3 linked regions of the Macaca mulatta genome follow. The protein of the gene in region 1 binds, or shares a complex with, the protein of each later gene. Links are inferred from orthologs where the notes say so. Each region holds a gene or a part of one and is shown on either strand. Other genes may lie near its edges.

Region 1 (3,368 bases):
TACCTTTTGAACCAGTAATTGCTCTCCTAGGAATCATTTGGAAAACAAGATAAAGAAAAGTTGTATTTAAAAAGTGGCAGCTCCAGACCGAGAATAAAAAATAAAAACATTAAAGAATAACAAGCAAATTCCTCCACATCAGGGACTAAACCCATTTTACAGGTCAAGAAACATCTGCATACAAACTAAGGAACCTACGTAAATTCCTATACTAGTGACGGTGGGGCCAGGATCTGAACCCAGGCAGTCTGATTCCCAAGCAGGCATGGTTAATGGTTACGCTATTGTTTTATAAGCCTTTTTGGTATCCACAGTAGAAATATATTTTACCTCATGATCCTGTACACACACACACAAAAGTAAAACAACTTCTACAAAACAACATTGACCTCAATATGTTGCAAAAACTTTAAGACGCTGATTTCGTCATGAAATTGTCTCATGGCCCACGATTTAAAACACACACAATGCTTCAGTGCTTCAAAAATACAGTATTTATTGTAATAACTAGAGTAGCATGTAAAAAAAACTAAGTGGAACTGCATGTTTAGCAACACAGCTGAGTAATTATGAATATAAACAATTGCTATTTGGAGAAAATACACCACGTTCATTGCTTGGAACCATGAATAATACTTACATATGTAGGAAATATAGAAAAAATAAAATAGGTTAAGGTAATAAGGATATAGGCAATTACGTTTTTATTTTTAATTTTATAAAGACTTTTATTTTTCCTTACAAACTGGGATGCTTAAGAGACCCGATAATAGCTACTTTTTTATTTTCTTGGCACCAAAGCAACTTACTTATGTGTTCCTTCTGGCATATCTGTTTCAGATCATAGTCAAGTTTTCCAATTCGTTTTACTAAGCTAGGAAAATTTTTTATACCAAAAAAAGTAAAATCAAAGCAAAACAAATGCTCTTTTGTTTATAGATGAAAATCTGGAACCAAATAACACAACATTAAAAGAACAAAACTTTGCAAACACATCCTAAAGCTACACACATTGAAACGCTACAGAAATACGCTTCCTGGGTTCGTTCTCCCTTCCCCCGCTCCTCTGCACTGTGCCTTTGGGTCTCAGACCCTTGTCCCGGGGGTCCCTCTGAATCCACCTCAGATTTCAAGAGGATGGGGCTGAGCCACTGGGCTGAGGTCTGGCCCTGTTCTCCTCATCTGCCAACGCCTCACAGTACTGCGCTGGCCAGTCCTTGGGGTCTTGATTATGGACTTTGGCCACAAACTTAAGAACTTTCATCTTGCTGGTTTCCAGGTTGGTTCGCGGGCCCCACTGGAACTCGTAGTCCACGGGGTCGGTGTGGGGTATCCGCCGGTATTCCAGGTAACGTTGTCGCACAAAGTCCTCGGTAATGAGTTTCTTTGGATCTCCGAAAATGAAATGCTTCTTGGTGGGGTAGACCCCTAAGCGCCGCAGAAAGTCCCAGACTTCAGTCTCCTTGACGGTGTTGCCCTTCATAAAGATGAGCCCCAGGACGATCATCAGGAGGCCCGTAGTGGGCGTGCCTTGGTCACCCCTCACCTCGGCATCCTCCTCCACCGGCTCCAGGGTGTTGATGAGGATATAAGTGTTGCTCTTGGGTTCAAGTTCCACCAGCTTATAACCGAAGACGTACTGGAGGCGCTCGGCGGCCCGTTTGAGGAGGTCGGGGAAGATGTCCTTGTAGTCCCCGATGACGTGCTTCAGTATGTCGGCCCGCTTGATCGGAATCTTCTTCTGGTCCTTAATCAGTAAGAACTGCACCAGCTCGGACACTTTCAGCTCCTGCTGCTTCTGGGTCCTGGGGCCCACGGCGGGGGAGGCCTGGGACCGGCGGGCGCCCTGCGACCCCTGCGAGCCGCCCGGCCCCCGGGAAGTGCTCGGGGCCTCCTCTGCGAAGCCGTCTCTGCGGGCCCGGGCGTGTTCGCCCGCCCGCGAGGCCCCGGAGTTTCCGCCACGGCTCCAGTCGCTGTCCCTCTCGGCCTGGCCGCCAGAGCGACCCCGGTTCCTCGGTTTTTGCAACATGTCACCGGCGACGCGTACCGGTGCACACTCCGGCAAGCAAGCAGCCGCGGCTGGGATCGTGGGTCGGCGACCCGCTAAGGCCGCTGCCTGGGCGGGGCCCCAGAAGGGGCGCGCAGTGTCGGCTGAGACTGCGTGCCGCGTCATGAAGCCTGCGCCTTGCGTCACGGCGGCTGGGCGGTGCGCCTGCGCGGCTGCGGGGCTGGGGGTACCAAAAGCATCAGATATTTCTGTGCAGCCCTGCAGGTCTGGTCGGTGAATTTCAGTATATCGAAGTGTTGTTCTTACTAAACCATGCAAGCAGAGAACGAGAACCGAAACTCCTAAACAAGTGTGTCGCTAAATTCAGGACCAGACAGGCTCAGGCAAGTTTTACAGACGGTATTATGAGTTTCTAATTCTAAATCGGGAGCATTTGTAAATGAAAAGATCTCACAGGATGAATGTGTGAGAAAGAAAAAAAAAAGGTGAAGAGGAAGGTACGACCGTGGAAGTAAAAGCATTTATTTCTACACAACATGTAGAAGGATATAAAAAACCCAGAGGGCTCTTAGTTTTCGTCCCTCCGCTCAATTTTATACCCTCCAACCCACTGCCCCCAGTTACTTTCTCTAATGCCCCGTGGAGTTTGTTAAAAACAAAAGTCTGCTGCAGGCTTTCCGCGCAAGCAGGACTTCGGTTTCACTATTTCCGTATGTGTATTCTCTGCATTAAACTCCTTTAGCTAGACAACTATGAGAAAACCCCACAAAACTTGTCAATATTAAGTAAATGTTTTAGCTTGGTCAAATGAGTTTATCCTTTGGAAAACAACTGTCTTCGGCTCACAGCCACAATTTTAGCAGAAATGCGTAAGAGGAATGCTGCAAACGTGCACTCTCAAGAGATTACCACTTAATTTTGGGCATCACTGATCAAGAATTGCAATAATGTGGATCTCTTAAATTTCTTAATTCATAATATATTAGCTTTGAGAAAGAAAAGAGAACACAAGGGTATTTATCCCTCATCTATGATGTGTGCAGTCTATGTATATTTTAATTGTGCAACTCAAGTAGCCAAAATGAGTCATTTCATTAACTCAAACCATCAGCAATCTGCTGCCATTACTTCTATAGATCTTAGCAAATTTGTTTCTTCTCTATTTATTGACTTGCAAAGAAGAAACTGAATTTCCCTGTGTCTTTTTAAAGCTACCCAGAAAGTGGATAAACTCTTCAAAGAACCAAATCGAGTTCCTCTTTAATGCAAATATATTCAAAGGAAAGCAATTTAGAACACATTATCTGAATAATAGCATCAAACACAACCTTATTAAAATTTTGTTAAATGTTAGTAGCAT
Region 2 (3,748 bases), on another chromosome or scaffold:
AAGTTTGTTTATGCATATTGTATCCCTTGTCTCTATGAGAAGAGACTGTGGAGAGAATGGTGGGATTAGCCATAGACATACATGTATCACCTACTTAAATAATTCTATTTTATACAAAAATTAGCCAGGCATGGTGGTGCACGCCTGTAATCCCAGCTGCTCAGGAGGCTGAGGCAGGAGAATCGCTTGAACCCAGGAGCTGGAGGTTGCAGTGAGCCAAGATCGCGCCACTGCACTCCAGCCTGGGTGACAGGGTGAGACTCCATCACAAAAAAAAAAAAAAAAAATATATATATATATATATATATATATTTGTATTAATTAAAAGTTTATTGGCTTTAAATGTACATCAGTAAATTTTTAAATGCTAAGAATTTATGATAAAAGAATACCGAACCAAAACATCAAAGAAAATAGAGGCTCAGCAGCATGATTTCAACATATTTTCCTGGATAAACATTTATTTTTTTTAAGTCTATGCCTTTTTATTTAAGAACAAAAACTCCCTAAATTCAACGTTTAGAATTGAATTTTTTTTTTAACTAAGCCCAGAAAAATGGGGCTCATAAAATAAAGGCACAATGTGGGCAGCAAAAGAAAAAAGGAGAAAAAATGGGAGAAAAATTGGTTTTAATCCCATGTATAACATATTGTCTTGTTTTGTTTTTGTTTTAGACAATTTAAGGCAGAATTATCTCTCTGCAACCCTGCAGATAAATCCTAGTATTTTAGCTTTAAGTTTCAAGAGTTCAGATATACAGATAAACCAACTAAAGAAAACCTTTTCTAAGGCTTTGAAGCATTATATAAATCTTTAACATTCCTATCACCCACATTTTAAGAAATACATCTATACTTTTAATTAATTAATGCATTTAATTCATTTAATAATACATTTATTTAAATTTAATAATTTTGAAATATAAATGTTTGTGGAATAAGTAAATCTCAGTCATACCATTCGTGCAGGTGCTAACACAATTCTTGTGCTTCACATGCACGACATCATTTAACCCCAACCAGCACCTTATGAGCAAAGGATCACTGACCCCATCTTACAGATGAGGAAACTGAGACTAAAAGGGCACAAGGTGACACACAAGAGTTGGTGGCAGAGAGAGACGTGACCATACAACAGCACGGTTCCTGTTCTCAAAGACACTCTCTTATCCAGTGAGAGTGAGAAAAGTGAGTGAACAGAACAGCTACAATCCAGGTCCCTCATCTGCAACCCTCAAATCTAAAAAGGTATGAATACTAGTGGATGATCAGATGCAGGGGAAAAAAAAAGTCTGAATACCAAAACTTGTTTCTTACGTTGGAGAACTTGACCTGACTTAAGGTGAGGCTATCCATGGTTATTTATCCCAACAGTGTAAATATATGCATATCTTTTTTTTTTTTTCAGACGGAGTTTCGCTCTTGTTGCCCCAACTGGAGTGAAGTGGCGCGATCCTGACTCACTACAACCTTCGCCTCCCTCGTTCAAGTGATTCTCCTGCCTCAGCCTCCCGCCTCAGCCTCCCGAGTAGCTGGTAGTACAGGCACGCGCCACCACGCCCGGCTAATTTTTTGTATTTTTAGTACAGGCGGGGTTTCACCATGTTAGCCAGGCTGGTCTGGAACTCCGGACCTCAGGTGATTCGCCCGCCTCAGCCTCCCAAAGTGCTGGGATTACAGGCCTGAGCCACCGCGACCCGGTCAATATAATATATGCATATCTTCATATCTTTAGCTGTGGAAAGGGTCGTGTATTTGATTGCAAGCCGCTGCTCCAGCCCCCACTGAGGGTGAAACCTAACATAGAACATACGCACTTTACCTTTCCAAAGTCCGAGAAATCCTCGATTTTAAACGCATCTGGCCTCGGGGCTGTAACACAAGCGGCTGCGGACTTGTACAAAGTGAGAAACTCCGTACACAAAAACAGAGGGGAGCACGGAGGGCGGCGGGACAGACAGGGTGGTCGGCGAAGGCTGTGTTTTCCATAGATGTAATCACAGTTTGAATCGAATTTTATATTTTGCTTTTTCACCTATTACAATGAAAAGTATCCTTACCTGTTAAATCGTAATTACGATTAAAAATATTTTTCACTAAATAGTACGATTTTTAGATGTCTTTGTGTGTGTTGTGGGAGGAGATCCCAGTCCGCTGCCTTCTGCGGCCCCTCTCTGGGCCTCAGTTTCCCCATCAAGAAGGGGGAGCCCCAAGACCCCCGTCCCCGAGTTCCACAGCCCACGAGGATAGACCACGGGGCCAGACCCCACTGCCTGTCTCGCCCACCCCACCTTCCGTCCTCCCCTCGCCTTCCTCGAAGTCCCTCTTCTTTCCCCTCTACCCCCTAGCGCGCCGCGTTACCCACCAGGGTGCCCAAGCGCAACCCGCGCTGAGCTAGCGGATACGGTCGCAAGGCGGACTCTTCTTCCTTTGGGGCGGGGCGAACGCGAACGCGGCGTTCCCGTTGGTGGCCTGCAGACGATTCGCCCGTCCGTTGGGTGACGCACTTCCGGTTTTCCGTTTGCGCCGTTTCCCTAGTGTTTCCGCCTCGTGGGTTAGATCCCAATTACTGCGCCGCTCTCCATCCTTAATAATGGGAAGGGGCTTCCACTTGTCGCCCTCCGCCTCCTGCACCTCAGTGACTTCCCTGACCAAGGAGGAAGAATCGGCGCGTAGCCCGTGCTTCCCCCACTGGCCACGATTCCGCCGGCACAATGTAGTGCCCTGCCCCGGGCCTCAGTTTCCCCATCAGTGGAACTGACAGTGTGGCCTCGTCGTCAAAAATGTGGACTCTGGCCGGGCGCGGTGGCTCATGCCTGTAGGCCCAGCACTTTGGGAGACCAAGGCGGGCCGATCACTTGAGTTCAGGAGTTCGAGACCAACTTTGCCAACATGGTGAAACCCCCGTCACTACTAAAAGTACAAAAATTAGCTGGGCGTGGTGGTGTGTGCCTGTAATCCCAGCTACTCGGGAGGCTGAGGCAGGAGAATTGCTTGAACCCGAGAGGCAGAGGTTGCAGTAAGCCAGATCGCATCACAGCACTCGAGCCTGGGTGACAGAGCAAGACTTAGTCTCATAAAAAACAAAAGAAAAATGTGGACTCTGTGGTCATACAGCCTGAGCTAGAATCCTGGCTCTGCCACTTACTAGTTGGCAGAAGCTTGGGCAAGTCATTGAGCCTCAGTTTCCTCTTCCATTAAATGGGGATATTAGTCCTTGCAAAATAGTGTTGGTGAGATTTAGGTGCTTAGCATAGCCACTGAAAAGTGTCACATGGGAGTGCTGATTAAATGTTAACTATTATCTTACCTAGGGATTGTGAGAAAGCAAGTGAAATTACTCTTGGAAGTGAATAGACTGTTTTGAATCTTCAAGGCATTAATTTTCCAAACGTTTGTATACTATCCCTAGTCTGAGAGCTAGGGATGCAGCCTAGCAAGGGAAACAGGTAACTAATATAGAACAGCGGTACCTGCAAATGTCTGTCTCTGTGAGGATAACTCAAATACAGGCTTGGTCACTCACCACCCCTGTGATCTTGGACAACCTTTTTTTTTTTTTTTTTTTTTTGAGACGGAGTCTCGCTCTGACCCCCAGGCTGGAATGCAGTGGCGCCATCTCGGCTCACTGCAAGCTCCGCCTCCCGGGCACACGCCATTCTCCTGCCTCAGCCTCCCAAGTAGCTGGGACTACGGGCGCCCACCACCACGCCTGGCTAATTTTTGTATTTTTAGTAGAGATGGGGTT
Region 3 (3,748 bases), on another chromosome or scaffold:
GAACTTCTTAGCATAGTAAACATACAGGTCTCTCAATGGTTGCTTACCCTGTCCAAATACTCACTCACATCCTATCCTCTTGCCTTACTAAAACACTTGACACTTTCTAAATATACCAAACTATTTCAGACAGTTCCTTCTGTCTTCAATGCTCTTCACTTCTTTTAAGACTTTCCTATCTTCTCAGGCGGGTGCAGTGGCTCACGCCTGTAATCCCAGCACTTTGGGAGGCCGAGGTGAGTTGCTTGAGCCCAGAAGTTCGAGACTTGCCTGGGCAACATGGTGACACCCCATCTCTACAAAAAATTTTTAAAACATTAGCCAGGTATGGTATGCGCCTATAGTCCCAGCTACCTGAAAGGCTGAGGTAGGAGGATCACTTGAGAAGGGGAGGTACAGGCTTCACTGAGCCCTGATCATGCCACTGAGCTCCAGCGTGGGCAACAGAGCAAGAACAAAGACTTTCATATCTTCTCTACAAAGCCCTTTCTCATACTCGTGGACAAAACTAACCACTTCATCCTTTGTGAAGGATCCTGATATATATGTTGTTATGGTATCTAACTCATTTGATTACATTTATCTTTCCTGATCTGGATTCAAATAGCAATGCAACTACTTAACAGCTGTGTAAAACTGGGCAAAACAACCTACTGAGCTTCTTTCAGCAATGGAAATTATCAAGATAGAGTTGTTATGAAGAAAGAATGAGTGCACTGTGTACCTGGCACACAACAGGTGCCTGAAAACAAAAAAGGTAGTATTGTTAAAATACAATTCTGTTATCCTTATGCCACTATGTGCAAGTTTAAAAAAGACTTCAGGCCGGACACGGTGGCTCACGCCTATAATCCCAGCACCATGGGGGCGTGCAGATCCCCTGAAGTCAAAAGTTCCAGATCAGCCTGGTCAGCATGGTGAAACCCCGTGTCTACTAAAAATACAACAACAACAACAAAAAAATTGCTGGGCGTGGTGGGGGGTGCCTGTAATCCCAGCTACTCGGTGAGGCAGGAGAATCGCTTGAAACTGGGAGGCGGAGGTTGCAGTGGGCCGAGATTGCGCCACTATCCTCCAGCCCGGACGACAGTATGAGATTCCGTCTCAAAAACAAAAATTAGCCGGGCGTGGTGGCGCGCACCTACAGTCCCAGCTACTCGGGAGGCTGACCCAGGAGCCTGAAACCGAGAGGCAGAAGTTGCAGCGGGCCGAGGTAGCGCCACAGCACTCCATCCACCGTGGGCGACAAGAGCGAAACTCCGTCTCAAAAAAAAAAAAAGACGACTTGGAACAGATTCACTGTGAGGTGCTAGGCAAATACATGATATATTTAAAACTTACTAAATTCTAAAGTGATAACTAGTTGTCTGAAGGAGAGAGGGAGGAACCAGGGAAGAAAGCTGGGTTTAGAGGGGTCAAGGGGTCAAGGGTCAAGATCCAACAATTGCCAGGAAGGTTTAATTTTTTTGTACTTGTAACCTCCCATCCCAAACAACCTTTACCGTCTTATCTACTCCTCTGTGGCAAATGCCTACCCTAAGAATCTGCCACAGCATCCCCACCACGCCGAATTAACTGTTGCCTCCTCGTAAATTCCCGGGGACAATACTTCTGTGAATTACAGACCAGGGCCGCTATGGATCGCGACTCCCAGCGGGCAGAGACCTACTCCCTCGTACAACTACTACCTGCTACAAGACGCTTTTGGAAAACCTTGGCGGACTAAATTTAAAAACCACATCACGTAAGGCACACATCTACATCATACACGTCAATCTCCACAGCCTTCGTAGAAAAATCCTCATGGGAACCCCGGCACGAATTCAAGGCCAGACCCACAAGCCAGGTACACACCCACACGCCCACGCCCGCGCGCAGCCGGCGCCCCGGGGCCTGCTGGACCGCACGCCTCCACACCCGCGGCGCGGCCTCCCGGCCACTCACAGGAAGTTCTCCATCGAGATACGGACGATAGAGCCCTCCACGAAAGGCCCGGACGACTGCACCAGCGGCAGCTGCGGGGCCGGATTCTTCCTCTTGCTCGGGACCTCCGACGAAGGGTCTCTCGGGAGAGCTCTCTTGGAAGCCTGGGGGCTTGGAGTTGACGTCTTCTTGCTTGGAGTCGCCATCCTGGCTTTCTCAGCGCCCCACAGCGACTTCCGTTCCCACCGTCCGGCAGCCCAGGCGCCCAAGCGCCCCAGCGCCCGGCTCCCGCGCGAACTGCCGCGAACTGCTCCCGCGCGCTCGCTCCCGCGATCTCGCGCCGCGCCTGCGCAGTTCAGATCCGGAGCGTCAGCGGGCCCACCCAGCGCCTCCTGCTCTCCGCCTCGCAGAACTAGGGCCCGACTAAGGGCGGAGCAGCAGACGGGACTGAGTGGGGACCTCGGGGGACGTGGCAACGGGAGTTTCTTCTCTGTATATTTCAGCATTCAGATCCTTTTTTTTTTTTTCCACTCAGGAAAAGATGTCAATTGCATTTAGTATTTTGAAAGCCACTTTATTGCTTCCCGAGCCTCAGTCATGTGTGGTGGGAGGCAGCTGTGGGGGGCACCAGGGGCGTCCAGGGCCGCCAAGGCCAGGGGTACGTTAGGCCCTGCTTGCTCCCACCCCTTCCAGGTGCCCGCCTGAGAGCTCCCGGGCACGCCCATCCTTGGCTCTTCGTCCTCTTGGTTTTCTTCCCCGTTGCTTCAAATCAGGTCCCTGTCTCAAAAACCCCGAAAAAGAAATACTCTCAAATAACTCTGCCCGACGCTCCGTGAAGGCATCGTGCTAGGCGTTCTCAAACTCGTGGAACGACTACACTGCACAGGTTATCCTCATTGCTTCTCTGCTCCTTGCCTCCTAATTCTCTGGTTAAACTTCCGCCCCCGAAGTTTCTAGAAATCCCTGAGCTAGAATGCGCAGCCTTCATTAACAGGGTGGTTCTGCTTCCGTCTGCTCACATTCATCTAGTAAGCCCTCGCATTAAAGAGGAGGCGGCGCACCGAGGCCTGCCTAGATCTTTCCTTCAACTAATAATGTCTAACCTACAAGAAACTGGAGCCGTGGCAGTTTAGAAGCCTGCCAAGGTTGCATCCCTGGGAACTTATTTTCTGTTGTGGGAGACAGGAAAAGAACAAGTGAATCAACTGAAATTAAAAAATTCCAACTTAAAGCTGTTGGAACTTGAAATTATTCAGAGCCTTGCGAAGAATGTGGCTACGGGGCCTGAGTCCTATGGCGTACAGCTGCAATGTCTGCCTTGTTTTTTCCTGTAAATAATCAGGAAGACCAAACAGAGACAGAGGTAAGACCCCCTCAGATCACTATCCCTCTTCATAGATTAATATAGTTATCCTCCTTGGAATGGAGATATCTATAACTAATCTAGTCGCTGTGTTTTATGCTTTGGTCTTGTATTGAAAATGTACTCCTGCTGAACCTTCTCTGCTTCTGCCTACGTAAATGAAACCTTAACTTCACTTTGGAACATTGACCTTATTTGTTTGGAGTTGGTGTTTCCAGGTGGCTGTCCTCAAGCTTTGCGTTAGAATAAACTCTACTTAATGTTATTTTATAAATTTCACTACTTAAGGTTGACACAACAAATGATTAGGATAATTTCAGACTGTGACAGGTGTTAGGAAGAAAACAAAATGAACCTGATGGGTGGGAGGTACGGAAGGTCTCTTAGAGGTGGTGATGTTTAAGATAAACCCTGAAGGACAAGAGGAAACTGTGGCATCTGAGAAAAGAGCACCCCAGGCAA

The links. The genes of interacting proteins can lie anywhere in the genome.
Region 2: the proteins of NSMCE3 (region 1) and NSMCE1 are in contact, whole or in part, in a crystal structure (PDB 7DG2), measured with the Xenopus laevis proteins. The link is inferred for Macaca mulatta from reciprocal best matches to the Homo sapiens genes NSMCE3 and NSMCE1. Residues at the interface, in XP_018121157.1 of Xenopus laevis: Gly57, Glu58, Val60, Gln61, Tyr62, Leu64, Ile65, Lys66, Gln68, Lys69, Val82, Thr100, Gln102, Gln103, Val104, Phe105, Gly106, Phe107, Asn123, Leu125, Gln126, Arg127, Val128, Gly130, Asp131, Gly132, Met133, Arg134, Asp136, Glu137; in NP_001083134.1 of Xenopus laevis: Ile5, Glu7, Gln10, Arg11, Leu13, Gln14, Ala15, Met17, Ser18, His19, Leu30, His33, Leu37, His38, Leu54, His57, Leu58, Pro60, Leu61, Phe62, Met63, Val84, Asn86, Ile88, Thr89, Met91, Ala92, Ser93, Asp94, Gln149.
Region 3: NSMCE3 (region 1) and SMC5 share a complex: the UniProt entries of both Homo sapiens proteins name them as parts of the SMC5-SMC6 complex. The link is inferred for Macaca mulatta from reciprocal best matches to the Homo sapiens genes NSMCE3 and SMC5.

The regions. Positions count from the first base shown.
Region 1 is NC_133412.1:9,161,354-9,164,721, reverse strand, and holds NSMCE3 (non-structural maintenance of chromosomes element 3 homolog), read right to left. Parts: upstream 2,124-3,368; 5' UTR 2,030-2,123; coding exon 1,130-2,029; 3' UTR 522-1,129; downstream 1-521. UniProt on the Homo sapiens protein: Component of the SMC5-SMC6 complex, a complex involved in repair of DNA double-strand breaks by homologous recombination. The complex may promote sister chromatid homologous recombination by recruiting the SMC1-SMC3 cohesin complex to double-strand breaks.
Region 2 is NC_133425.1:26,814,758-26,818,505, forward strand, and holds the start of NSMCE1 (non-structural maintenance of chromosomes element 1 homolog), read right to left. Parts: upstream 2,433-3,748; 5' UTR 1,823-2,432; exon of another isoform or gene 1,736-1,822; intron 1-1,735. UniProt on the Homo sapiens protein: RING-type zinc finger-containing E3 ubiquitin ligase that assembles with melanoma antigen protein (MAGE) to catalyze the direct transfer of ubiquitin from E2 ubiquitin-conjugating enzyme to a specific substrate.
Region 3 is NC_133420.1:101,264,789-101,268,536, reverse strand, and holds the start of SMC5 (structural maintenance of chromosomes protein 5), read right to left. Parts: upstream 2,233-3,748; 5' UTR 2,130-2,232; coding exon 1,945-2,129; intron 1-1,944. UniProt on the Homo sapiens protein: Core component of the SMC5-SMC6 complex, a complex involved in repair of DNA double-strand breaks by homologous recombination.